Linked DNA regions of Sus scrofa. The protein of the gene in region 2 interacts with the protein of the main gene of each other region in a biochemical or structural test. Links are inferred from orthologs where the notes say so. Each region holds a gene or a part of one and is shown on either strand. Other genes may lie near its edges. The genes, in order: MAPK1, SMAD1, ACVRL1, STUB1 and SMURF2.

Evidence for each region.
Region 1: of the proteins of SMAD1 (region 2) and MAPK1, one has a biochemical effect on the other in vitro, tested with the Homo sapiens proteins (3 studies listed by BioGRID). The link is inferred for Sus scrofa from reciprocal best matches to the Homo sapiens genes SMAD1 and MAPK1.
Region 3: of the proteins of SMAD1 (region 2) and ACVRL1, one has a biochemical effect on the other in vitro, tested with the Homo sapiens proteins (2 studies listed by BioGRID). The link is inferred for Sus scrofa from reciprocal best matches to the Homo sapiens genes SMAD1 and ACVRL1.
Region 4: the proteins of SMAD1 (region 2) and STUB1 form a complex in vitro, tested with the Homo sapiens proteins (3 studies listed by BioGRID, with this or other methods). The link is inferred for Sus scrofa from reciprocal best matches to the Homo sapiens genes SMAD1 and STUB1.
Region 5: the proteins of SMAD1 (region 2) and SMURF2 form a complex in vitro, tested with the Homo sapiens proteins (2 studies listed by BioGRID and IntAct, with this or other methods). The link is inferred for Sus scrofa from reciprocal best matches to the Homo sapiens genes SMAD1 and SMURF2.

The regions. Positions count from the first base shown.
Region 1 is NC_010456.5:50,081,561-50,086,165, reverse strand, and holds the start of MAPK1 (mitogen-activated protein kinase 1), read right to left. Parts: upstream 3,088-4,605; 5' UTR 3,064-3,087; coding exon 2,321-3,063; intron 1-2,320. UniProt on the Homo sapiens protein: Serine/threonine kinase which acts as an essential component of the MAP kinase signal transduction pathway. MAPK1/ERK2 and MAPK3/ERK1 are the 2 MAPKs which play an important role in the MAPK/ERK cascade.
Region 2 is NC_010450.4:82,984,948-82,989,597, reverse strand, and holds the start of SMAD1 (mothers against decapentaplegic homolog 1), read left to right. Parts: upstream 1-1,688; 5' UTR 1,689-1,872; intron 1,873-2,544; exon of another isoform or gene 2,545-2,560; intron 2,561-2,628; exon of another isoform or gene 2,629-3,419; intron 3,420-4,650. UniProt on the Homo sapiens protein: Transcriptional modulator that plays a role in various cellular processes, including embryonic development, cell differentiation, and tissue homeostasis.
Region 3 is NC_010447.5:17,273,772-17,277,764, reverse strand, and holds part of ACVRL1 (serine/threonine-protein kinase receptor R3), read right to left. Parts: intron 3,826-3,993; coding exon 3,574-3,825; intron 3,401-3,573; coding exon 3,189-3,400; intron 2,934-3,188; coding exon 2,834-2,933; intron 2,481-2,833; coding exon 2,334-2,480; intron 2,038-2,333; coding exon 1,762-2,037; intron 1,179-1,761; coding exon 981-1,178; intron 1-980. UniProt on the Homo sapiens protein: Type I receptor for TGF-beta family ligands BMP9/GDF2 and BMP10 and important regulator of normal blood vessel development. On ligand binding, forms a receptor complex consisting of two type II and two type I transmembrane serine/threonine kinases.
Region 4 is NC_010445.4:41,092,253-41,097,000, reverse strand, and holds STUB1 (E3 ubiquitin-protein ligase CHIP), read left to right. Parts: upstream 1-1,819; 5' UTR 1,820-1,939; coding exon 1,940-2,098; intron 2,099-2,590; coding exon 2,591-2,789; intron 2,790-2,877; coding exon 2,878-3,043; intron 3,044-3,380; exon of another isoform or gene 3,381-3,522; coding exon 3,523-3,610; intron 3,611-3,762; coding exon 3,763-3,819; intron 3,820-3,906; coding exon 3,907-4,023; intron 4,024-4,100; coding exon 4,101-4,226; 3' UTR 4,227-4,487; downstream 4,488-4,748. Other genes in the region: uncharacterized protein LOC100524737, read right to left, coding at 407-570, 690-842, 1,022-1,181, 1,338-1,431, 1,504-1,631; JMJD8 (jmjC domain-containing protein 8), read right to left, coding at 4,534-4,614, 4,695-4,748. UniProt on the Homo sapiens protein: E3 ubiquitin-protein ligase which targets misfolded chaperone substrates towards proteasomal degradation.
Region 5 is NC_010454.4:14,469,326-14,473,318, reverse strand, and holds part of SMURF2 (E3 ubiquitin-protein ligase SMURF2), read right to left. Parts: intron 2,030-3,993; coding exon 1,834-2,029; intron 391-1,833; coding exon 287-390; intron 1-286. UniProt on the Homo sapiens protein: E3 ubiquitin-protein ligase which accepts ubiquitin from an E2 ubiquitin-conjugating enzyme in the form of a thioester and then directly transfers the ubiquitin to targeted substrates.

The DNA.
Region 1 (4,605 bases), on a different chromosome or scaffold from region 2:
GTGACATGGATTTAATTCTTATATTAAATATCATTAATCTGAAGATAAAAAGCTATAATCTGTACCCAGGATTCTAATTCCAATAATATTTACACTTGGATCCTACTTAAGAAAGGAACGTCACATTAAGAGGGCTTGGTATTTTACCCGACAGAGATTTAGAAGGTCAAATAAGTCTACAGAAGCTACAGAAAGTTAGCAGATCTAAATGAGCTTCAGACTAGTAAACATTCTTATCAAATTAAAAAGAAAAAAAAACCTCTAAACTGGATTGTCATAAAACTAGTTTTTTGGTTTTTGTTTTTTTTTTTGTCTTTTTGCCATTTCTTGGGCTGCTTCCGCAGCATATGGAGGTTCCCAGGCTAGGGGTCCAATCAGAGCTGTAGCCCCTGGCCTATGCCAGAGCCACAGCAATGCAGATTCCGAGCCACGTCTGCAACCTGCACTACAGCTCACAGCAATGCCGGATCCTTAACCCACTGAGCAAGGCCAGGGATCGAACCCACAACTTCATGGTTCCTAGTCAGATTTGTTAACCACTGAGCCACGATGGGAACTCCAAAACTAGTTCTTTTCAGAGTCTATCTTAGGTTCTAATTTATCTTCTTTGGAAGGGCTGAAGGACATGACAGGCAATTCTGAACACTTCATAGAGACCTTTACTGGCACACTTACCAGCAGATACAACAGCAATCAGATGTAGGACACAAGTGATGCTGTGGGGCATTACTTTCTCTCCATTGCATTCTAGGACTGCATTTCTTTTAGGCCTCAACTAATTTAATTTCGCTTTTGGCTCCTTAGCCTCTGAATTCACGTTAATTCTCAGCTGTATACTTTGAAGCATTTTGATCTTGAAAAGAATGAAAATATTCAAGATTCAATGAAAGTCTTTTTCTTTTTTTTTAAAGTTTATGTAGTCTTTGAACCTAGCTAATGTAACTGGTAAATCATGCCCTCTATGGCCTTTCTGAAATCAAGATCATTTAAAGTTGAATATATTTCTGAAATAGATTTGCTTATGAGTAAGACAGACTAGAATTCTAAAATTATTAATAACATTATTTAAGAAAAATAGGATGTAATGAAAAGAGCTGCAGCAACTGAAGTTAAATTCTCAGTCTACAATCTCAAGTCTGACTCTTTAGTTGAATGACCTTAGGAATTGGCTTTACCAGAAATACTTTCTCATCTGAAAGATCTCACAGCCCTTCCCTCCCACCAGCTGACTATTCAAATAAAATGAGATAATATATCTAGCACAGTACCTGCCACGCAGCATTCAGTATTAGTTTTTTTCCTTCGTTCAACACAAAAGACACTCACAAGATTTAGGTATAAGGGAGTCCACACCTGCACAAGTCTTCATCAGCACAAGACAGCTAGTTAGTACTAATTTAAAAAAAAAAAAAAAACGAAAAAAAAACACCGTCACCTCCACTCCACAAACGTTTCTGAGGGATCTGCATCAAGACGAGGGAACCAGCATGTGACACTGCAAGAACTCCACCAGGACTGCATACATATTGACCACTAAAGCATTGACAGTAAAAGTCCACAATAATTGTGCTAAAACGTCTGGATGCCTTTATGCTGGTAATAGAGTTCAAGCGAGATAAAGGAAAAAGAAGCCAATTTAGGCCCAACTCCAAATGACTCCTTAATAAATCAAGAGAGGGATGCTGGTTTATCTTTCCTAAAACGCGGACAGTACGATATTAAAACCCATTTAAAAACTTCATCAAGAATGAAATATGCCAAAACAAACATTGACGCCACTAATGCTTTTTCAAAAGCCTGCGCAGGAGAGCACCGCTGGCACCACCGAAGGTATCTGATGAAAGCCGTGCGTGGAAAACGCAGGCGAGGGAAGGAAAATAACAGACGGTCATTTCGGGGCGGGGCACACACGCCGCGGCCGCCGCCGCCAGCATCTGAAGGAATTCGCGGCTTCCCACCCCGGCGCGAAGAGCAGGCCGCGCGGCGCACACCCAGGCCGGGGAGGGGGGCGGGGGGGGCGGAGGGGGCCTAGGTTCCCGGGCCGGGGTCCTGGATCCAGTGTCCACCCCCCGCCCCCTCCCCGCGCCGAGCAACGCCCCAGCCCGACCAGCCCCGCCCCGACCGAGGCCCCGCTGCGGTTGGCGGCGCAGCGGGCCTGGGTCGGAGGTCGGAGGTCCGGGTTGGGGTAGGGGCTGGGTCCGCGTCCGGGGTCGGGGTCAGGGTCGGGGTCCGGAGAGCAAGCGGGGCAGCAGCGGTGAGCCCGGCTGGGGGGGAGGGGAGGGCGGCGGGCGCGGCCAGGCCGCGGGGCATGGACACTCACCACACCATGCCGTAGGCGCCCTCGCCGATGTAGGAGAGGTTGGTGTAGCGCGGCCCCACGTCGAACACCTGCCCGCGGACCATCTCGGGGCCCGCGCCCGCCGCCGCCGCCGCCATGTTGGCTGCCGGGCCGCCGCCGCCGCCGCCGCACTGGGCTCGATGCTCCGCGGCCGCTGCTCGGCCCACGCTGCACCAACGGGGAGACCGCGCCCCAGCCGCTGCAGCCGCCGCCGCTGGCCGGGAAGAATCAGTGAGGGACCCGCTCGGGAGAGGTAGATAGCCACCGACCGCTCGTACCGACTGCCCGCCTGACTGACTGACGGGCGGGCCGGCGGGCGGAGGGAGGGGCGCGCGCCGAGGAGGGCGCCGGGGCAGGGCCGTAGGCGTGAGCGCGGATTGGCTCCCGCGGCCTGGGGGCAGGGCTGCGCGGCCGGCGGAAGAGGCGCGTTGGGGGCGGAGCACTGCAGCGGCGGGGCGGGGCGCGGTCACGTGCGCTCGCGGGAGGCGGCGGGGAAACGCTGAGGACTCCGAGGCGGGGCGAGCTTGCGGGGCCGAACGGGCGGGGCAGCGGGCCGAGAGAAGCTCCGGGCGGCTCCCTCCGAGTAGGAGCGCGACCGGGGCGGATTCCCCCCGCCCCCGCGCGCCGAGCCAGGTTTGTGAGAGTCCGGGGCCCATACAGATTAGAGGCCTCGAGACCCGCACAGAAGCCGGAAGGGTGACCGAGACCGAGAGAGATATTTGCATCCTGAGAAAGTGTGAAACCCAGAGTGGGAGGCGGAGACAAGAAGCCCGGACGCGGCCCGCTCCGGCAGAGGCTCGTTCAACAAGTGTCACCGCGTTCCTGCGCGTCCACCCTCCTCGAAGCTACCCTCCAGGAGATGATGGATGGACGGTCGATGGATCTGAAGGAAGACTCAAGTTGTCTGCGAAGTACTGCGAAGAAAAGGAGAGCAGAGTAAGGGGTTCGGGAGTAGTGGGTTGAGACCCTGAGAAAAACACTGAGATTCAGAGACTGGCACCCAAGTTGGTACAGATGGGCAGGATCTTACCCAGGTAGAAACGCGAAAAAAACAAGTATTAACATCTAGAGAAAACGAGTTAGACGCACTGAGGTTCAGAGATTGTCACAAAAATGGAAAAGAATGTATATATGTATAACTGAATCACTTTGCTGTATAGCAGAAATGAACACAACATAAATCAACTGTAACTTTAATAGTCACAAACACCAGAGGTTGAAAATAAAAGGCAGAATCTTGAAGCAGGTGAATTCGATAAACAGCTAAGACAATGAGACAGAAGATGATCCAGCCCTTGCTTCTGAGCCACTTCATTGGAGTCACCTGCGTCGTCTTGGAAAGGGGACTAAGGGTGGGAAATTCTGCGTCCTGATTGTCTGACACTGTGATCCAGAAAGCCTGGACTTCCAGTCATCAACAAAGATCAACTAGACAGTCTTGAAGATGAATAAGCAAAAGAGAAAAAAATCCTCTGGGGAAAAAAAAAAACATGTGGCATATGAGAAAATAAATAAAGGGCTACAGCCAAAAAGTACTCTTTTGAAATATGTTTAGTCCATAAAGTAGAACCCAACACCTGATTCTTATTCCTTTTTTTTTTTTTTTTTTTTTTTTGTCTTTTTGCCTTTTCTAGGGCCACTTCCCACGGCATGTGGAGGTTCCCAGGCTAGGGGTCTAATCAGAGCTGTAGCCACCGGCCTATGCCAAAGCCACAGCAATGCAGGATCCTTAACCCACTGAGCAAGGCCAGGGATCAAACCCTCAACCTCAGGGTTCCTAGTCAGATTTGTTAACCACTGAGCCATGACAGGAACTCCCTGATTCTTGATTAAAAGAAGAACTTGCATCTTTTAAAGGACAGGCCAAGATAAATAGAGGGTACCATGAAATTAAAACCACAATAGCCAAAGTAAAAGCAATGGTTGGAGCTGTAATAAGCAGACTTAACAGTGTAGAAGAGCAAGTCAGCAGGATAGGAGACGACTATGAGAAAAAGCTGGTGATGAAATTCTTTAAGAAGAAAATGTACAAGAGAACAAACACCACAAAGTCAAACTACAGGCACCCCCTCCCCAAAGAAGACAGAGCAAATCACTTAGAGGCAATAACTTACAGTAAAAGAAAACCTGCCTTAATGTCTAAAAAGATCTGTGGTGTTGGAGTTCCCTGGTAGCCTAGCAGTTAAGGACCTGGCATTGTCACTGCTGCAGCTCAGGTCACTGCTGCAGCAAAGGTTTAATCTCTGGCCTGGGAGCTTTTGTATGCT
Region 2 (4,650 bases):
CATAGACAACCACCATTCTGTCTCTATAGATTTGCCTATTCTGGATATTTTATTTTTTTGTCTTTTTAACACTGCACTCGAGGCATATGGAGGTTTCCAGGCTAGGGGTCCAATCCGAGCTACAGCTGCTGGCCTACGCCACAGCCACAGCAATGTGGGACCCGAGCTTCGTCTGTAACCTACACCACATCTCACCGCAACTCCGGATCCTTAACCCACTGATGGAGGCCAGGGATCAAACCTGAAACCTCATGGTTAATAGTCGGTTTCATTAATCACTGAGCAACTACGGGAACTCCATTTATATTTTATATAAATGGAAGCTTACAGTCTGTGGGGTTTTTGTCTAGCTTCTTTCACTTAGCATAGGGTTTGCAAGTTTCATCCACGTAGAATGTCAGAACTTCATTCCTTTTTATGACTGAATGTGTTCCATTGTGTGCATACAGCACATTCTATTTATCAAAGGAGGGTTTGAGCACAGTAGTGACCTGTTTGGAGTGGCATTTCACAAGGCTCATTGCAACTGTTGCTGCCAGGGGTAGAGAATGAATTAACTGTCAAATGCTGTTCTTAGGGGAAACAAGACAAGGCCCAAGAATTGACCTGTAAGTGCTCAAATAATTGAACGAAGAAATTAGCAGACATAGTCTGACTATATATAAACAGTATTTTATGTATTTGGGGGGACCTGTTGCATTTCTTTTGAATGATTAAACATGGGATGTAGCAATAAGATGGTTAATAAGTAAGAATTTAAAATGGAATGTGCACATGTAAAGTACATGACAATTGGAGAATACCATTAATTTGACTTAAAAAAAATGATGGTAATAGTTCTTTTGGAACACGTAAATTTACTCCTCAGAATCATTATTCTCTAAACATAACCTTACCCTAATCATCCAAGATTTCAGGCCAGCTTCTAGAGAGCCGGCTAAGAGAAGAAAAAACTCTCATAAACAGACATTTTTAATGTCTGTGCAGATCAGGTGGATGGGAGCTAGTTTAGTTTTATTTTGGGAAGTTGGTGTCAACCAAAAGGTGGCAGAACCTGGATCAAAAAATTGAGAGTTCTGTTGCGGCATCTGTCATTTGGAGCAAAGACGTTAACTACTGGAATCTCTAGATCCTGAAACTGGCATCAAACACATGTATTGATTCAAGGTTTGGGCTAAGTACAAGAAATAGTTACTAGGTTATCCAGTTTTCAGTACGTGCAACTTCTGGGGCTTGCAAATCTTTGAGGAGTGAGGGGCAAGGAAAACTAGACCTAAAAGGCGAGGCTCGAAAGGTGATGATCAAAAATGCACTCTATGTTTAAAATGCGATTCGGTGGGCGGGGTGGCCAAATGTTTCGGAAAATAAACATAGAACGCGGAACTTCCCTTGCAGGTAAGGCTGAGTTGGCTTCACGGGGACCAGAGGAGGCAGGGACAGCCGTTTCGATTCCTAGGAATCAGCGGGGCGGTGGGCGGGGGAGGCGGCGCGGGCCCGGCGCTCGCGCTGGCGGGGCCGGGAATTTGGAGAGGATCCCTGGTCGCGCGGCGGCGGCGGCGGCGCGCGCGGGTGCGCGTGTGAGCGAGCGAGGGAGCGGGAGGGCGAGTGCGCCCGGTATTGGCAGCGGAGGAGTGGAGGCTGGGCGGCTCCGACTCCCTGACGCCAGCGCGACCAGATCAATCCAAGCTCCCGGAGCAAGCGAGCGAGCGGGCGGGCGGGAGGAGGAAGGAGAGGCCGAGCCGCTGAGCCCGAGCCGAGGCGCGGGGAGGGACCCTGCGAGCGCAGCGCCCGGCCGGCCGGACCGGGGCCGCGGGGGACCCCGCTCGCCCGGCCACCTCGTGCGCCCGCGCGGACGGGCGCGCAGCCAACCCGGTAAAACGAAACAGACCCGAACCCAACTTTCTCCTCCGCCGCGTCCCCGCCCTCCCTTCGGCGCCCCGCGGACTTTCCAGCGCCGCCGCCACCGCCTCGGGTTGGGGCGGGCGCGGGCCAGCCGGGTGGCCGCGGTCGTGCACCGGGCCAGTGGTGCGGTTGAGGCGGAGAGGGGGCTCTTCCCCGCGTGGGGCGGACCGGCACCCCCCCCCCCCATGATGGCGCCTCCCGGCAGCTCTAGGGAACCAACCTGCCACCTTCTCTCCCCTCGCGCTCCGCCAGCCAGGCTGGGCTTGGGCCGGAGTGCCCCCTGCGTCTTTGTTGGGTCCCCGGCGGGGACGCCGCGTCCCTTGGCCCCCAGCCTCGCCCCGATCCCTGCCCGCGGCCGGCCCTCGGCGGCCACCCTCCCCCCTCCGCCCGTTTCCCTTTCCCTTCCTGCAGCCGGGCCTGAGCCGTCGGCGCGGCCCGCCGGGCCCATTGTGTCCCGCGCCGGCCGGGCGACCCCTGCGGGAGTCGGAGGGCGGCCGCGGGCGCTGTCCTTTCCGCGAAGTGGGGCTCGCGCGAGGGGGCACCCGGTGCCCTGCGTCCCTCCGGCTTCGGGCCGGGCTCCCTCTTCTGCCCCGGCCAGCCTCTTGAGGGTCGAGGTCAAGGAAAGTTCTCACCTAAATTCTCTCTAATTTAGTCAAAGGTTTGGCTGCACGTAATTTTTTTTTTTCTCTTCCGCCTACCCCCCCCCCCCCCCCGCGCCCCGAGTCTCCAAGTGTCGTCTCATTCCTTTCCCTTTCCCGGATTTGATTGCCTCACTGCATGTGTATTTGTGAGTTCGCCGTGGAACAAGTGTTCATTTACTCTGCGCATGGTCTTTGTTAGTGTTTCTCGGGGTTGTTTCTGCAGGAAGGTGGGGGTGGTGGGTGTGAGAGAGACAGACGTGGGCTTGTTTTTCTAGTTGCTTAATACATATGAAGGCTTCCCAGGGAGAGCGTTTCCTTGATGTACTTTGGGAAGGGAGGAGGAACAGATGCCTGCCGGATCTTACAACTCCAGTAGCTGCGGCTTTTGTTTATTTTGAGGCGTGGACGATGTTTAAATGCACCGTGCAAGATCCCCAGTAAGGCGCTTTCCCTTCTGCAGATCGAGGAGCGTCTCAGAACTGTCTCCTGAGAAAGCACCATTGTCGTGAGAGCTCTGACAGCCGGCCTTTTTCTTTCCGCTGAGGTTCTTTTGCCATTGCAGCTGAAGTTTCAAAGTCTATGGAATGATCCCAGAAGTTGCCTGAGCTCTGTATGCCTTTGCGTTGCTGAAACTCTTCGCGATTAGCTCGATCGCAGAATGCCTTTATTTCAGAGCATATCTCGCTCTCCTTGGCTGTCGTGGATGACGTGCCCACATTCAGGAACACAGTGAGAAAACTGTCTTCTGCCCATGTTGATTTTTCGTCTTGTTTCTAATTACTCCTTTGCACTTTATTGGCGGTAGGTGAGCGGTCTTGGAACCAGGATTTCAGAAGAATTGAGGCAGAATCAATGTTCACCGCCCCAGGATTTTCAGTTAGTATAAATATTTTGCATCAGTGTTATTCTGATGGAGGTGCCAGGCCTAAATCTGCTGTGCTGATTTAAGTATTTGTCCTCTGTCCTCCCTCCCTCTTTGCATTTGCAGTTACTTGATATTTCTGTGCAGGTGGTGTACATTTGTGTAGTATTGCCATTCTTAGGAAACTGTAACCAGGGTCGTGGGAGATGATTTTCTAGAGGTGGGTGATGCCAGAGTCTCTGGAGGATCCGGGCAGGATCGGGTGTCTTCTGAGGGTAGGGATTTGTCCTTGATTTAGTTTTGACCCTTCCAACCATAGGTATGTAACTAAATACATTTTTCCTTCTTGCAGTATCCTTTGGTTTTGTACCTTCGAAGAGCTGATGACCTTTGCATTTTAGAGAAATGATAGTTTTTAGGCGGTTAAAAATGTTACGCTCTTACACCTCTTGGCATTTATTTATTTTTTCCAAGTTCATTAAAGCGTTAAGAGCAGGTAAGCCTCGTTTTCCCCAATACATTTATTAGTTGAAAACTAAATTGCAGTTTGTAATTTTGATTTCTAGTAATTCTGGGTTTAGTAACTTGGTTAGATTGGAAAAAGAATAAACTTGAGTGTAATTAGATGAGTATATTTAAGCTGCAGTCGCCTACATAATCAAGGCCAAGTTGTGTGTGTATAAAAGATCTCATTTGTGTAGTCTTACAAGGCTAATGGAGGCATCATTGAGGCTTTATAAATAATGTAAGTTGTGTATAATGTAGCGTCTCCAGAGACGGCAGAGAAAGCATCATTACCAGCCTTTTCAACCTGCTTGAGATCTTAAATTGATTTACAGCACTGAACTGGTGCAAAATGATACATCAGGATGACATGGGGTCAGCCTGTAAAAGTCTATGATGTCAGCCTATTAGTTCAGTCATCATAATTAAACCGTATTACAGGGGCAGCTAAGCAGGAGTCTGGCGTTATCCTTCAGATATGGGTGGTACATGTATTTTGTTTATGGTGGAAAGGCTGAACTGACAAGGAACGCTAGGGTTTCTAAAAAAGGGGAAAGGCTTACAGAACTCTGAATTTCTGAAAAAAACTGAAGGTACGTGAAGGGCTGTTCAGTCTGCATTGTCTAAATAGCTTTCCATTAGGTCGTGGAGAAACAGATGCTTTGGGGTGCTGATAAGGACCGTTGCAGCTCAGATCTGTGCACTGAACCATGCTTCATGTGAGCTTGAATTTAACTTGGC
Region 3 (3,993 bases), on a different chromosome or scaffold from region 2:
GCGGCATATGGAAGTTCCCAGGCTAGGGGTTGAATTGGAGCTGCAGCTGCCGGCCTACGGCACAGCCACAGCAACGCAGGATCCGAGCCACACCGAGACCTATGCTGCAGCTCACAACAACAAAGAATCCTTAACCCACTGAGCGAGGCCAGCAATCAAATCTGCATCTTCAGGGAGACAATGCTGGGTCTTTAACCTACTGAGCCACAACGCAAACTCCGATAAATTATTTTTACTCTCACTTTACAAATTAGGAAACTGAGGCAGAGAGGTTTAAGTACCTTGCACACAGTTGATGGCAACATCAGGAACTGAACCTAGGCAGTCTGATTACCAACCCATGTCTGTTTTTCCTTCCTTCCTTCTTTCTTTCTTTCTTTCTTTCTCGCCTTCTTTCATCTTTTTAGGGACACACCTGTGGCATATGGAGGTTCCCAGGCTAGGGGTCTAATTGGAGCTGTAGCCACCGGCCTGCACCACAGCCACAGCAAAACCAGATCCAAGCTGCATCTGAGACCTACACTGGCCTTCACAGCAACATGGGACCCTTATCCCACTGAGGGAGGCCAGGGATAGAACCTGTGTCCTCGTGGATACCAGTCGGTTTCGTTACCACTGAGCCACAAGCGGAACTCCACCAACTCATACTCTTAACCGCTAAGCAATACCACCTCCCTGCCAACACAGGACGATTCCATAAGAGAATACATGTATACGGCATAGCATATGGCTCATATTTAAACTCAATACATGTTAGCTGCTATTAATATTTCTGTTATTAGCACTTACTCATGATTTCACAGCCAGAATCAGACTCAGATGAACCTTAAAAAGTCACTCAGCTGAGCCAGTGGTGAGTGGCAGTAAAGAGAACACAGGAGGTCTAACCACAAGCCCCTCCGGCCATGGGCACCAGCCATGGCAGGAAGCCGTCTCCTGCCTGTCTATTCCCCTTTTCCCACCCTGTGCAGGAGCCTCACCGTTGACAATGGTCCGCCTGGCGATCTCCCACAGCACCAGGCCAAAGGCCCAGATGTCCGTCCACTTGTAGGACTCAAAGCAGTCAGTGCGGATCTGCTCTTCCAGCACCTCGGGGGCCATGTACCGCTTGGTGCCCACTCGCGGGTTGTTGCCGATGTCCAGGTAATCGCTACCCTGGGAGTGCATCACAGCCAGGCCTGTGGGTACCCAGGCCTGTCACTCCTGCCGCCCACCCGAGCCCATAGGCAGGGCTGGGGGAGGGGCGGGGCGTGAGGTTGAGATGGAAGTGGGGACACAGAGCAGCCCGTGGAGACCTGCCTTGAGGGGGGGCTGGGAGACAGCAGCCCCAGGGAGAATAACAGAACAGCCCAGTTTCACTTCGCTTGTGCAGCGCTCTCTGGGTGCAAGAACCCAGCGAGAGGTGAGCAGGCGAGGCAGGCACCATGATGCCCATTTCACAGAGCTGAACCCCAAGGCCTGGTGAGGGGCAGCGATGTAGTCAGCGAAGCCGGAATGAGAACCCAGGTGGCTGGCTCCCTGCCCCCTTTCTCCCAACTCCTGGAGCCCAGCTGGTGTGGCGGAAGGAGTCTGGGCTTGAAAAGAGTGTTAACGCAACTTGTGGAGGTGCGATGAGACCACACACGTCTGTAGGTTTTAAAGCGCCAATCAGCGTCCTCCTCGACGCCAGGCATCCAATCAGGCAAAGACCGAACCGAGAGGGAGCGCGCACAGACCCCCCCCACGCCCCGCCCCCTTGAGGACCCGCCCCTCCCCGCTCACCCAGGTCTGCGATGCAGCACTGCAGGTTGCTCTTGACCAGCACGTTGCGGCTCTTGAGGTCGCGGTGGGCGATGGCCGGCTTGCCCTGCGTGCCGAAGATCTCCACGTGCAGGTGCGCCAGGCCGCAGGCCGCCGACACGGCTAGCCTCAGGGCCAGCTGCGGCTCCAGCGTCTGCCTCTGCAGAAAGTCGTAGAGCGAGCCATGCTCGTGGTAGTGCGTGATGAGCCACAGCTGCGTGCTCGAGTTGCGGGACGTCATGTCCGAGGCGATAAAGCCTGTGGGCGGAGGGTCAGGTCGCTCACCAAGGGGCTGGGGATGAGGGAGATGAACCAGTCAGGGCTGGGGACAGAGGATGCGCTAGGTCAGGGTGCATCCTCCACCCACCCATGGGGTGGTGTGGAGGCTGGTCTGGCTTAGGTCAGAGAGGAAGCCGGAGTCAGCGTTTGGGGCTGAGGGCTGGCTGGGAGTCCTTCAAGGGTAAGTCAGTATCCAGATTGGGGAGGGGGTGTGATGGTCCCGCCCTGAGTGCAGGAGGGTGACAGGGGGGCCTGGCATAGCGCGCCGGGCTTGCCTAGGATGTTGTCGTGTCTGAGCAACACCGTGTTGTAGATCTCAGTCTCCCGGAACCAGGACTGTTCATCCCTGGAGGAGAAGATCTTGACCGCCACACTCTCGCCATGCCACAGGCCCCGCCACACCTCGCCATAGCGGCCCTTTCCTGACCCGAGGGCAAGAGAGGAGGGAGCGGGTCACATAACTGGGTGCGCAGAGCCCACGAAGCCGGGAAGAGCCCCTCCCCCTCCCCCATTATGCTGCTGCACGGACTGCATCTGCAGAACCTCTGATGCTTATGTTTATGTTTAATTTCATCCAGATCCAAACACAGCTGGCAGCCCCCCCCCCATGTGCCTCTTGTTCCTGCAGAAGTGTCTGGCGCTGACCCTGCTCCAGCCCCCTCCCTGCCCAGCAGAATTCCCATTCTGACCCGGCCCTGGCCTGGCCTGTGAGCGTGGAGGGCAGCAGCTCCCTCACCCCTCCAAGCTCATGGGAGCTCTGGGTCCCCAGCCTTACCCACACACTCCACCAGGGCAACCTGCCGTGCCACTGTCCTCTGTACCAGGAAGGGGAGCCCTGAGCCACTGCCCGTGGTGCAGTCACTGTCCATGAGGTCCTGGGAATACCAAGAGGCCACTGAGAGAGAGGCAGCCCTCATCCACCCAACCCATTTCTCCCTCCTCAGCCTGGGCCCCCTGCTGTCTCTCTTCACACTCCTCATTCACCAGCCCCTCCCTTCCAGCGCCCAATCAAATCTCTACGTGCCTGCCACGTGCCTTTCTCAGCTACCTGCCATTCAGTACCCCCTCCGATTCTGTGGCCCCCGTCTTCCCACCGCCACCCTGTGTCCCAGGCTCCCCCAGGCCCGTACCCCCAACATGCTGTCCCCCTGCTCAGATGCCTTCAGGATGAGGCTGGACTCGCCCAGCTCGCTGTTTAGGCCCCGCTGCTTCTCCTGCCTCCGCCGGACATGCCACAGGCCCAGGGCACCCAGGGCCACCAGGACCAGGAAGGCCAGCACAGGGCCCAGGATCAGAGGCAGCTGGCTGTCTGCTTGTGGCTGCTCCGGAGGAGTCTGGGTGGCTGGCGGAGGGGGGACACTGAGGCCCAGCTCCCTGCAGGCCAGATGGCACCCCCGCCCCGCCCCTCTGCCAGTCAGATCCCAGAGTCCTGCCTCCCCCGCCCTCCAGGCCAGAGCATGAGAGACAAGCAGGGCAGGGTGGGCAGAGTCTGAGAAGGCGGGCAGCTGGACGTACCCTCCAGTGCCAGGGACACGTTGTGGTTGCAGAGGGAGCTGTAGCAGCAGTAGTGGTTGACGAACTCAGTGGGGTGCCCCCTGCAGAGCTCCTGGTGCAGGTTCCCACAGCCCCGATGTTCCTGGGGGTGGCCGCCCTCCTCCCGCACCAGCACTACTGTGCACCAGGCCCCCTGGCAGGTGGGCCCCTTGCAGTATGGGTTCTCACACGTGCAGGTCACCAGCAGATCCCGAGAGGGCTTCACGGGGTTGCCTGGGAGACACACTGGAAGCTCAGCCATTCTGGGCCTGACGCCCCAGGATGCACCTACCACCCAAGTCTGCCCACCGCCCCTCCCTCCTGAGGGCTTAGACAAAACTTTTGAGGCCTTGGTCCATCAGCTGCATCCTCAGATTATCCCTCTCCCCCGTGCCTTATCCT
Region 4 (4,748 bases), on a different chromosome or scaffold from region 2:
TGGTAGAGGTCCCCAAGGGTGACCTCAGAGGAGACCCTACCCCGGCCTCTTCCCCAAGACTTGCAGTCTGAGCCTTTTTGGAGAATGAATAAATATTTTACACAGCGTCAGGCGGCTGTACTAGGGCTCCGAGGGATGGTCTGGTCTCCTCTCAACTTGCTGAGCAAACTGCGAGGGCCCTTCCTTCCACGTGGGCCGCCTGGGCTTCCCCTCTTGCTTCTCTGCACCTGTCGTGAGCTGCGTCTGTGAGAGACGGGCCAGACGGGCTGGGGAGGGACTGTGGGCCTCACAGGCAGGTGTGAGTTCAGCAAGCATTTATTGGGCTCCTACAGCAGCCAGCCTCTGGCCCAGAGACTTGTGCCCTGAGGTCACAGAGCAGGTGAGCAGGATCTGGGCCACAGCCAAATCAGTCGGTCTGGGTCCGGCGCTTCTTGGCTGGCCTGGAGTCCTCGGGGGCGGCTGGGCTGGGACCGAGGTCGGGCAGCAGGTCAGGGCACAGCTTCTGCCCTATAGCCCAGGTCCACAGGGCTGTCTCCACACGATGCGGGGTCCACAGCCCTGAGGCACTGCCTAAGGAGGGGCAACAGGGAGTCTGGGGCCCAGGTCACCCTGCTCTGCTGGGAAGCTCTGCACCCTCCACCCTGACCAGAGTCCTGAATGCCCTCCCTCGCTGCCAGCAGTCTCCTCACCATGGCTCAGAGCTGTGGCTCGCTCCTGCACCCGGCTCAGGTACAGCAGGTAGTGCTTGAGGGTGTACTGCAGGGCTGGCAGACCGGGCACCGCGGCCACTGCCTCCTCAGACATGAAAGCTGCCACCTCGGGAGCTCCGGCAGCCAAGACCGCTATGGGCAGCAAACAGCCAACACTCAGGCCCCACCAGCCTCAAGACACCTTCGGGGCTGCCATTCGCAACAGCTCTTGGTGTCATGAACGTGGCCATCAGGCGATGTCCCAGGCAAATGTACTAACAGACCAGGTTCCGCCCGCGACCCTGCCAGGGCGCCAGGCTCTCCCGACTAACCCGAGGCCGTGGCCGGGCCCACGCCCCGCAGGGCGCGTAATTCCGTGACCGCGGCGTGCATGTCTGGCAGGAGGGGGAAGGCGGCAGCCGAGTGCTGCACCACCAACTCCGGGGCGTTGGCGCTGACGAGCTGATGCAGGCGCGGCCTGAAGCGGCCCCGCTGGTCAAGTCGGGGTGGGGGTCACGGGTGCTGGACCTCGCTAGGGGCCCCGCCCCACAGCGCGAGGGCCCGCCCCCGGGCGAGCCACGCCCACGCCCACACCGCTACGCCCCGCCCCGGAAGGAGGCCCCGCCCCCCAAGTGGGAAGTTCCTCACAGCCAGCTTCCAAGCCAGCAGCTGCCCCAGCTCTTCTCGAGTCACGTGCTTCTCCTCCCGGCCCTCGATGGCTGCGGGCAACGCCTCTCGATACCTGGAGAAGAGCTGTGACGGCGACTCCGGGCCACGGGGGTCCCCCGCCCACCCGATGCCCCTATCACCCTACCATCGGTCCAGGGCTTCCAGCCGCCCCTGGGGGCCCGCGCGCGCTCGGAGCACTTCCCCGTGGCGGCCCAGGACGGCGGCCCAGAGGCTCGGGTCCTCACAGCCCCAAAGGCCGCGGGCCGCCGCCATGTCCACGCGCCGGGGCAGGGCTTCGGGGGCGGGGCGCCGGGGCGCCGGGGTGGGCTTCCGCCCCGACGACCTCGGCTCTCCTCAGGTTGCCGACGCCGCGCGTCGAGTCGCCGCGAGCGCACGCTCCCTGCCAACCCCGCCCCCGCGGCGCGTTGGGGGCACGCGAGGCCCCGCCCAACCGCACGGCCGGAAGTTCCGGTGGCAGAGCGCAGGACTGGGCCCGAGCGGATCGCGGGCTCGGGGTGCGGGCGCTGGGCGGGCCGGGCGCGGAGCCTGGGAGCGGAGCCCAGGCCGTGCCGCGCGGCGCCATGAAGGGCAAGGAGGAGAAGGAGAGCGGCGCGCGGCTGGGCGCCGGCGGCGGCAGCCCGGAGAAGAGCCCGAGCGCGCAGGAGCTAAAGGAGCAGGGCAACCGGCTCTTCGTGGGCCGCAAGTACCCGGAGGCGGCGGCCTGCTACGGCCGCGCCATCGTGAGTGCGCCCGGGCCGCGGGAGGGGGCAGGCGTCGGGGCCGGAGGAGGGGCCGGGCCGGGCCGCGGCTTCGGCCCCGCGTCCTCCCCGGAGCCCCTGTCTGGCCGCCCCTACCGGACTTTCGGAGGGGATGCACTTCGGCTCTGAGGACTGAGTGATCTTCTCTCAGAGAGGCCAAGGCTACGGCTCCCGAGCCAGGGTTGGTGGTCAGAGAACTGTGGCGGGTGGGAGCTTCAGGGTGCTTGCAGCCCACTGGGCTGGGGGTCCAAGCCCAAAGCTGGGGATTTTCAGGAGTCTGGGAAACCTGTCTTCGCAAGACTCGTTGGAGTCGAGGGGGCGGGCTCAGGTAGGCTCCACCCTTCCTCCGCGCCCAGAGACCTGGGTGCTGAGAAACCTCTAGTGTCTTGATTCCAGCCGTGGGTCTCAAGCTAGGACAGAAAGGGCAGGCTGAACTCACTCCCTCATGTTGGCTGGTCCGGCCTTGGTCCCCAGACCCGGAATCCCTTGGTGGCAGTGTATTACACCAACCGGGCACTGTGCTACCTGAAGATGCAGCAGCACGAGCAAGCCCTGGCTGACTGCCGGCGCGCCCTGGAACTGGACAGCCAGTCTGTGAAAGCACACTTCTTCCTGGGGCAGTGCCAGTTGGAGATGGAGAGCTATGATGAGGCTATTGCCAACCTGCAGCGAGGTGGGCTTGCTGGCTGGCCTGTTCCAGGGTGCCTGGGACCAGGCGGGGGGACTGGCTCGAGGGTTACCCGGATCCTTTGTTCCCCCAGCCTACAACCTGGCCAAGGAGCAGCGGCTCAATTTTGGGGATGACATCCCCAGTGCTTTGCGCATTGCCAAGAAGAAACGCTGGAACAGCATCGAGGAGCGGCGCATCCACCAGGAGAACGAGCTGCACTCTTACCTCACTCGACTCATTGTGGCTGAGCGTGAGAGGTGGGCTGTGGTGTTCATGGGCTCCACCCCACCTCCCAAAGTCACCATTCTTTTTTTCCTTGTTTTTTTGTTTTCGTGTCTTTTCGCCATTTCTAGGGCCCCTCCTGTATCATGTGAAGGTTCCCAGGCTAGGGGTCCAATCGGAGCTCTAGCCGCCGGCCTACGCCAGAGCCACAGCAATGCGGGATCCGAGCCGTTGTCTGCGACCTACACCAGTTCTTGACAACGTCGGATCGTTAACCCACTGAGCAAGGCCGAGGTTCAAACCTGCAATCTCATGGTTCCTAGTCGGATTCATTAACCACTGAGCCATGACGGGAACTCGCAAAAGTCACCATTCTGAGTCGTGAACATAAGCGTTTATTGAGGACCAGCCTGGGAAAGCAGGAGATGAGGGAACAGGGCCTGAATCGGCCCAAGGTGGAGTCTGATCTCCTCTGGCCAGACCCATCTCTGATCAGCTGTGTGGTCCACCCCAGGGAGCTGGAAGAGTGTCAGCGGAACCACGAGGGTGAAGAGGATGACGGCCACATCCGGGCCCAGCAGGCCTGCATCGAGGCCAAGCATGTGAGGGTGCCCTGCCCACGTGTGGGTCCTGTGTGTATTTGCACGTGTGTGATGTGAGGTGACCCTGGCTCCTGTTGGGTCTTTGTGGGCGGGGTGCCTGGGGAAAGGCGACAGGGGCTCAAGCTTCTCTGGAGCTGCCTGGTTTTTTGTAGGATAAGTACTTGGCAGACATGGATGAGCTCTTCTCCCAGGTGGATGAGAAGAGAAAGGTAAGCTGCCTGTTCCCTGGGCCCTGTGGGTAGCAGGAGCCAGGGCAGTGCCCCTTCCCGCTCCTGACCTGAGCTTGGGTGCTGCAGAAGCGAGACATCCCTGACTACCTGTGTGGCAAGATCAGCTTCGAGCTGATGCGGGAGCCGTGCATCACGCCCAGTGGCATCACCTATGACCGCAAGGACATTGAGGAGCACCTGCAGGTAAGGGTCCGTAGCCGCTGGGGGCAGGGCCCACACCCACTGGGCATCTTCTCATTCTGATCCTGTTGCCACTGCAGCGCGTGGGCCACTTTGACCCTGTGACTCGGAGCCCCCTGACCCAGGAACAGCTCATCCCCAACCTGGCCATGAAGGAGGTCATTGATGCGTTCATCTCGGAGAATGGCTGGGTGGAGGACTACTGAGGCAGGGCAAGTGGGTGGGCCCCTCACCCACCCTGCCCAGTATCCTGGCTTCTTGGGAGGGCCTTGGGGCAGCAGCCCCTAGCCTCTGTACATAGTTCGTGTCCCTGGATCCCCACCCTGGTATCCCCAGCCCCAGCCCCACCAGTTCTGCTGGGCCATGAGGCTCCCCCATCCTCCTGTGCCAGAAGCGGCAGGTGAGGGTGGGCCAGGCCGAGGTTGCTGCTGCCACCACTGTCCCTGTAATAAAATCTGTGAGCACTATGGGGGCGTGTGCTGGTGTGCAACGGCTTACCAGCCACCCCCTGGGTTAGCTGAGGAACGTAGAGATGAAGACGCTGATGTCAAGGTTGAGTGTGGCGTGCCACCATCGGTCAGGGAAATACAGCACCTAGTGGATGGGGTGAGAAAGGCACAGGGATTGGTTGCAGGCCCTTGGCCCGGCCCAGCCCCTGCCTGCCAACCACTGACCTCACCGGCCTGGATGGTGCATTCCAGGGGCCGTGCAGATGGTGCCAGGGCTGG
Region 5 (3,993 bases), on a different chromosome or scaffold from region 2:
CCTGGCCTGCAGGGCCTACAAACAGTCCCCAGAGGGTTGCAACGAGTTTTCAGAGAAAGTCTCAGTGGACTGCCCGGTCCACGGGGGAGATCACAAGCACTCTTCTGGCAGCAGTACCATCCTAACCTCATTAGCAATACACCTATTCGGGTATCCTTTACATCGCACACAATAGGGAGTATTACGCTAGAAAACACGTATCAATGAGAAAGCGACGCCACAGGAAATATCTTAAATTTGCGAACATGAGGATCCACACATCAGTTACTGAGAAGCAAGTCTTCACCTGGCAACTCCTCCGTAGTCAAGGCCTTCTTCTCCACGAAATTTTATCATTAATCGCTTCCAGAGATCTTTTGGTCTCATTTTCATGACTTGCCGATATGATTCCTGAAAAAAACATTTAATACACTATTATTACTAGGTGCCTTTAACCTATTACTTAAACTCTCCCTCCCATTCCACCTACAAAACATATGTTTATTTAAATAAGGTGGAAATTGTTTATCAAATCAACAGATAAACTCCAAGTGTTTGAAATCTAAACAAACTTCTAAAAACAAAATGTGATATAGCTTAAAACTACTGGAACCAATTCATTTGATAAATATTATATTAAAAGCCTACTAAGTGCAAAACTCCATATTTAAGTCCTCTGAACCATAGCAATGATTCCACTCACATCAAAAAACAGAAGTTCATAGCAGGACCAAACTTTTTTATTAACCTCTAGGTCACAGACACCGTAGAAAGTAAAGTTAAGAAAAAGAAGTTTCAGAAAACATAAGTAGTCATTAATGTAATCTTCATTAAACTGACAACTTTGTATTATTTTAAAAATACAAATGACGGACTACAAATAAGGTCAGAACTGTTCTGAGAGAAAAAAGTTGATCCTTTGGGAGAAGGATTACAAAGTCGCCCAAACGTCTACTGCCTAAGAACCCTTAATGAGTGGGAAACCCTGCCTTGGACCTCTGCCACTTACTATGTAAGAACTTTGCTATTAGAGCTATAAAATCCAAAGATAAAGGATATACTAGAAAGGAAGATTTTCAATAAATTAAGGAAGTAGTCCAACAGTAATGAAACAAAGGGATTTTCTGACTTAAGAGTCCCTTACCTTTTGGAAGAATCAGAAAATAAGGGATGGATAGTATTGTAGACTTTTAAAATTCAAATCAAATAAATATTTGCAATACATAGATCAAGCTGCACAGAGTATCTCACACTCCCTCTTACTTATATGTTTATCTTATATTAAATGTCTCCAGTATTATTGCCTTTATTCTCCACAATTAAAAAAGAAATTAATGATGAACAACAAAGTCCTACTATATAGGGAGCTATATTCAATATCCTATGATAAATCACAATGGAAAATATTTAAATAAAAGGACGTATGTATATGTGTAATTGAATCATCTTGCAGTAGCGCAGAAATTAACACAACATTGTAAATCAACTATACTTCAATTAAAAAAAATTAATGAAAATTCTTCCATTCTAGGAGTTCCCTTGTGGTGCAGTAGGTTAAGGATCCAACACTGTCTTGCAGCAGCTTGGGGTGCTGCCGTGGCACAAGTTCAGTCCCTTACCAGGGAACTTCACATGCATTGGGCACAACCAAAAAAAAAAAAAGGAAGTAAAATTCTCCCATTCTAAAGAGACCTAAGTGCCCCAAAATATACTTGGAAAACAGAATAAATCAGTGAAATTTAATTTTTTCTCTATTTTAGAGTAAGACTTGAAGTTTACCTCTTTGCTGTATAGCAGAAATTGACAGAACACTGCAAATCAACTACACTTCAATTAACTATAAAAAAAGTTTACCTCAAAAATCTCTTCCCTGGAAACCTCAATGCGACAATGGCCAGCCTGAGGCTGTTGCTGGGAAAGTTCTTGCCGCAGAATTTTTAGCTTCTGAACCAGGTCTCGTTTGTACCGTGGGACTGTCAGACACTCTGTGTCATCAGGACATAACGATACCACCTGCTGCTGCTGCTGGTCTTTCAACTGGTTCTGTCGACTAAAAGTACACAAATATTACTAAAGTATTTTAAACAAAAAAGACAGCAATCATATATTTAAAATAGCATCATACTCTAAACCAAGTCTAGCTATATCATTCTAGGCCTTATTATATTCTTAGCCTGACATTTTTGACAACAATAAACTAATTCTAAAGTTTATCTCTCAGAATTTATGGACTTGGATAATAGAGTTTTATCTCAAAAGCTTTATACAGCTGCTGAGAACAACTTTCTCAAATACCATTTCCATTTTCTTCCGCATAGTTTACCATCACTCATTTTAAAATTCAGGCACATGCCAAAGCCTGGCCCTGTTATCTAGAGTCCGTCTCTCTGGAATAGACAAACTTTGAACTGGCAGCTTGACAGGGCCCCCTTCAAGGCACGCTACAGTCTAGACCACAGGTCACGTGGAAATTATTGGCACAGAGAAATGAGAACTTTACAAACAAGTCTAAATGCTTTATGACAACTTCTTATTGTGGTAAAATACACGTAACATAAACTTTACATTTTAACCATTTTTAAGCATTGTAGTAAGTGGCATTAAGTACATTCACATTGTCTACTGTGCTGAAGTGACTTCTAACTGCACATATATGATTTACCATAAATACATGTAAATAATCTCCCAAGTACAGCAGAAATATAACAATTTTTAAAAGGCACACTGCCTAATAATATATTTATTCTTTGGCAAAAATATAAGTTGCATCTAAGAATTTTTAAGACTCTTACGATATAATGAATAGTTAATTCCAATAAACAGTCAGGAAATTAAAAGTCAGAGAATTTACTATGGACATCTATGCAGACCTTGAGTGATTCAGCTGGAATTTTACATACAAGACTACAATCTCCTAACTTACAAGTGAAGAGTAATGATAGCTATGAGGAAATAAAAAAAAAAAAAAAAAAAAACCTTCAGTTCACTAACAAATCACTCAACTTACTTTATATACGTGATTCTTAAATACCATGCTAAACTTTATACCTGGAACATTTAACTAATAACTATCCAGAGAAAAAAGCAGCTTTGATAAAAATTATAAATCACTATTTACTACTCTTGTAAACATTATAATAAAGGTGTTATATATATATATGTATGTATACACACATATATAAATCAAAACAAATATATAAAAACTCCTAAAATACACCTTAACTATATTAATCTATACTCCCCTAAAAGAACTGGTGTATACCTTACACCAAATACAAAACTCAAAACGGATCAGAGACCTTAATGTAAATCTCAAGCCACGAAATCTTTGAAACACAGTTAGAAAACTTATATGACTGATGTCAGGGAAAGATTTCTTAAATATGATCCCAAAAGCACAATGATAAAAGTACAAATAGATAAAATGAACTTCATTGAAATTTCAAAGAAACTTTCTGCTTTCAAAAGACACTATTAAGAAAATGAAAAGGAGTTCCCGTCATGGCTCAGTGGCTAACGAATCCAACTAGGAACCACGAGGTTGCAGGTTCGATCCCTGGCCTTGCTCAGTGGGTTAAGGATCCGGCGTTGCTGTGAGCTGTGGTGTAGGCCACAGACATGGCTCAGATCCCAGTTGCTATGGCTCTGGCGAAGGCCGGCAGCTACAGCTCCATTGGACCCCTATCCTGGGAACCTCCACATGCCGCAGGTGCGGCCCTAGAAAAGGCAAAAAGAAAAAAAAAAAAAAAAAAAAAAAGAAAATGAAAAGACAAGTTGGAGTCTAGAAGATCTTTCTAAAGAATATATCTGATATAAAACTTTATTTCGAACATCTAAAGAACTCTCCAAACTTAAATGTTAAGCAGTTCTCTTGTGGTGCAGTGGGTTAAGGATCTGGCACTGTCACTGCAGGGCCTGGGTCGCTGCTCTGGCATGGGTTTGATCCCTGGTCCAAGAACTTTCACATGCTTGGGCATGGCCAAAAAAGAAACACTTAAAAGTATAAAAATAAAA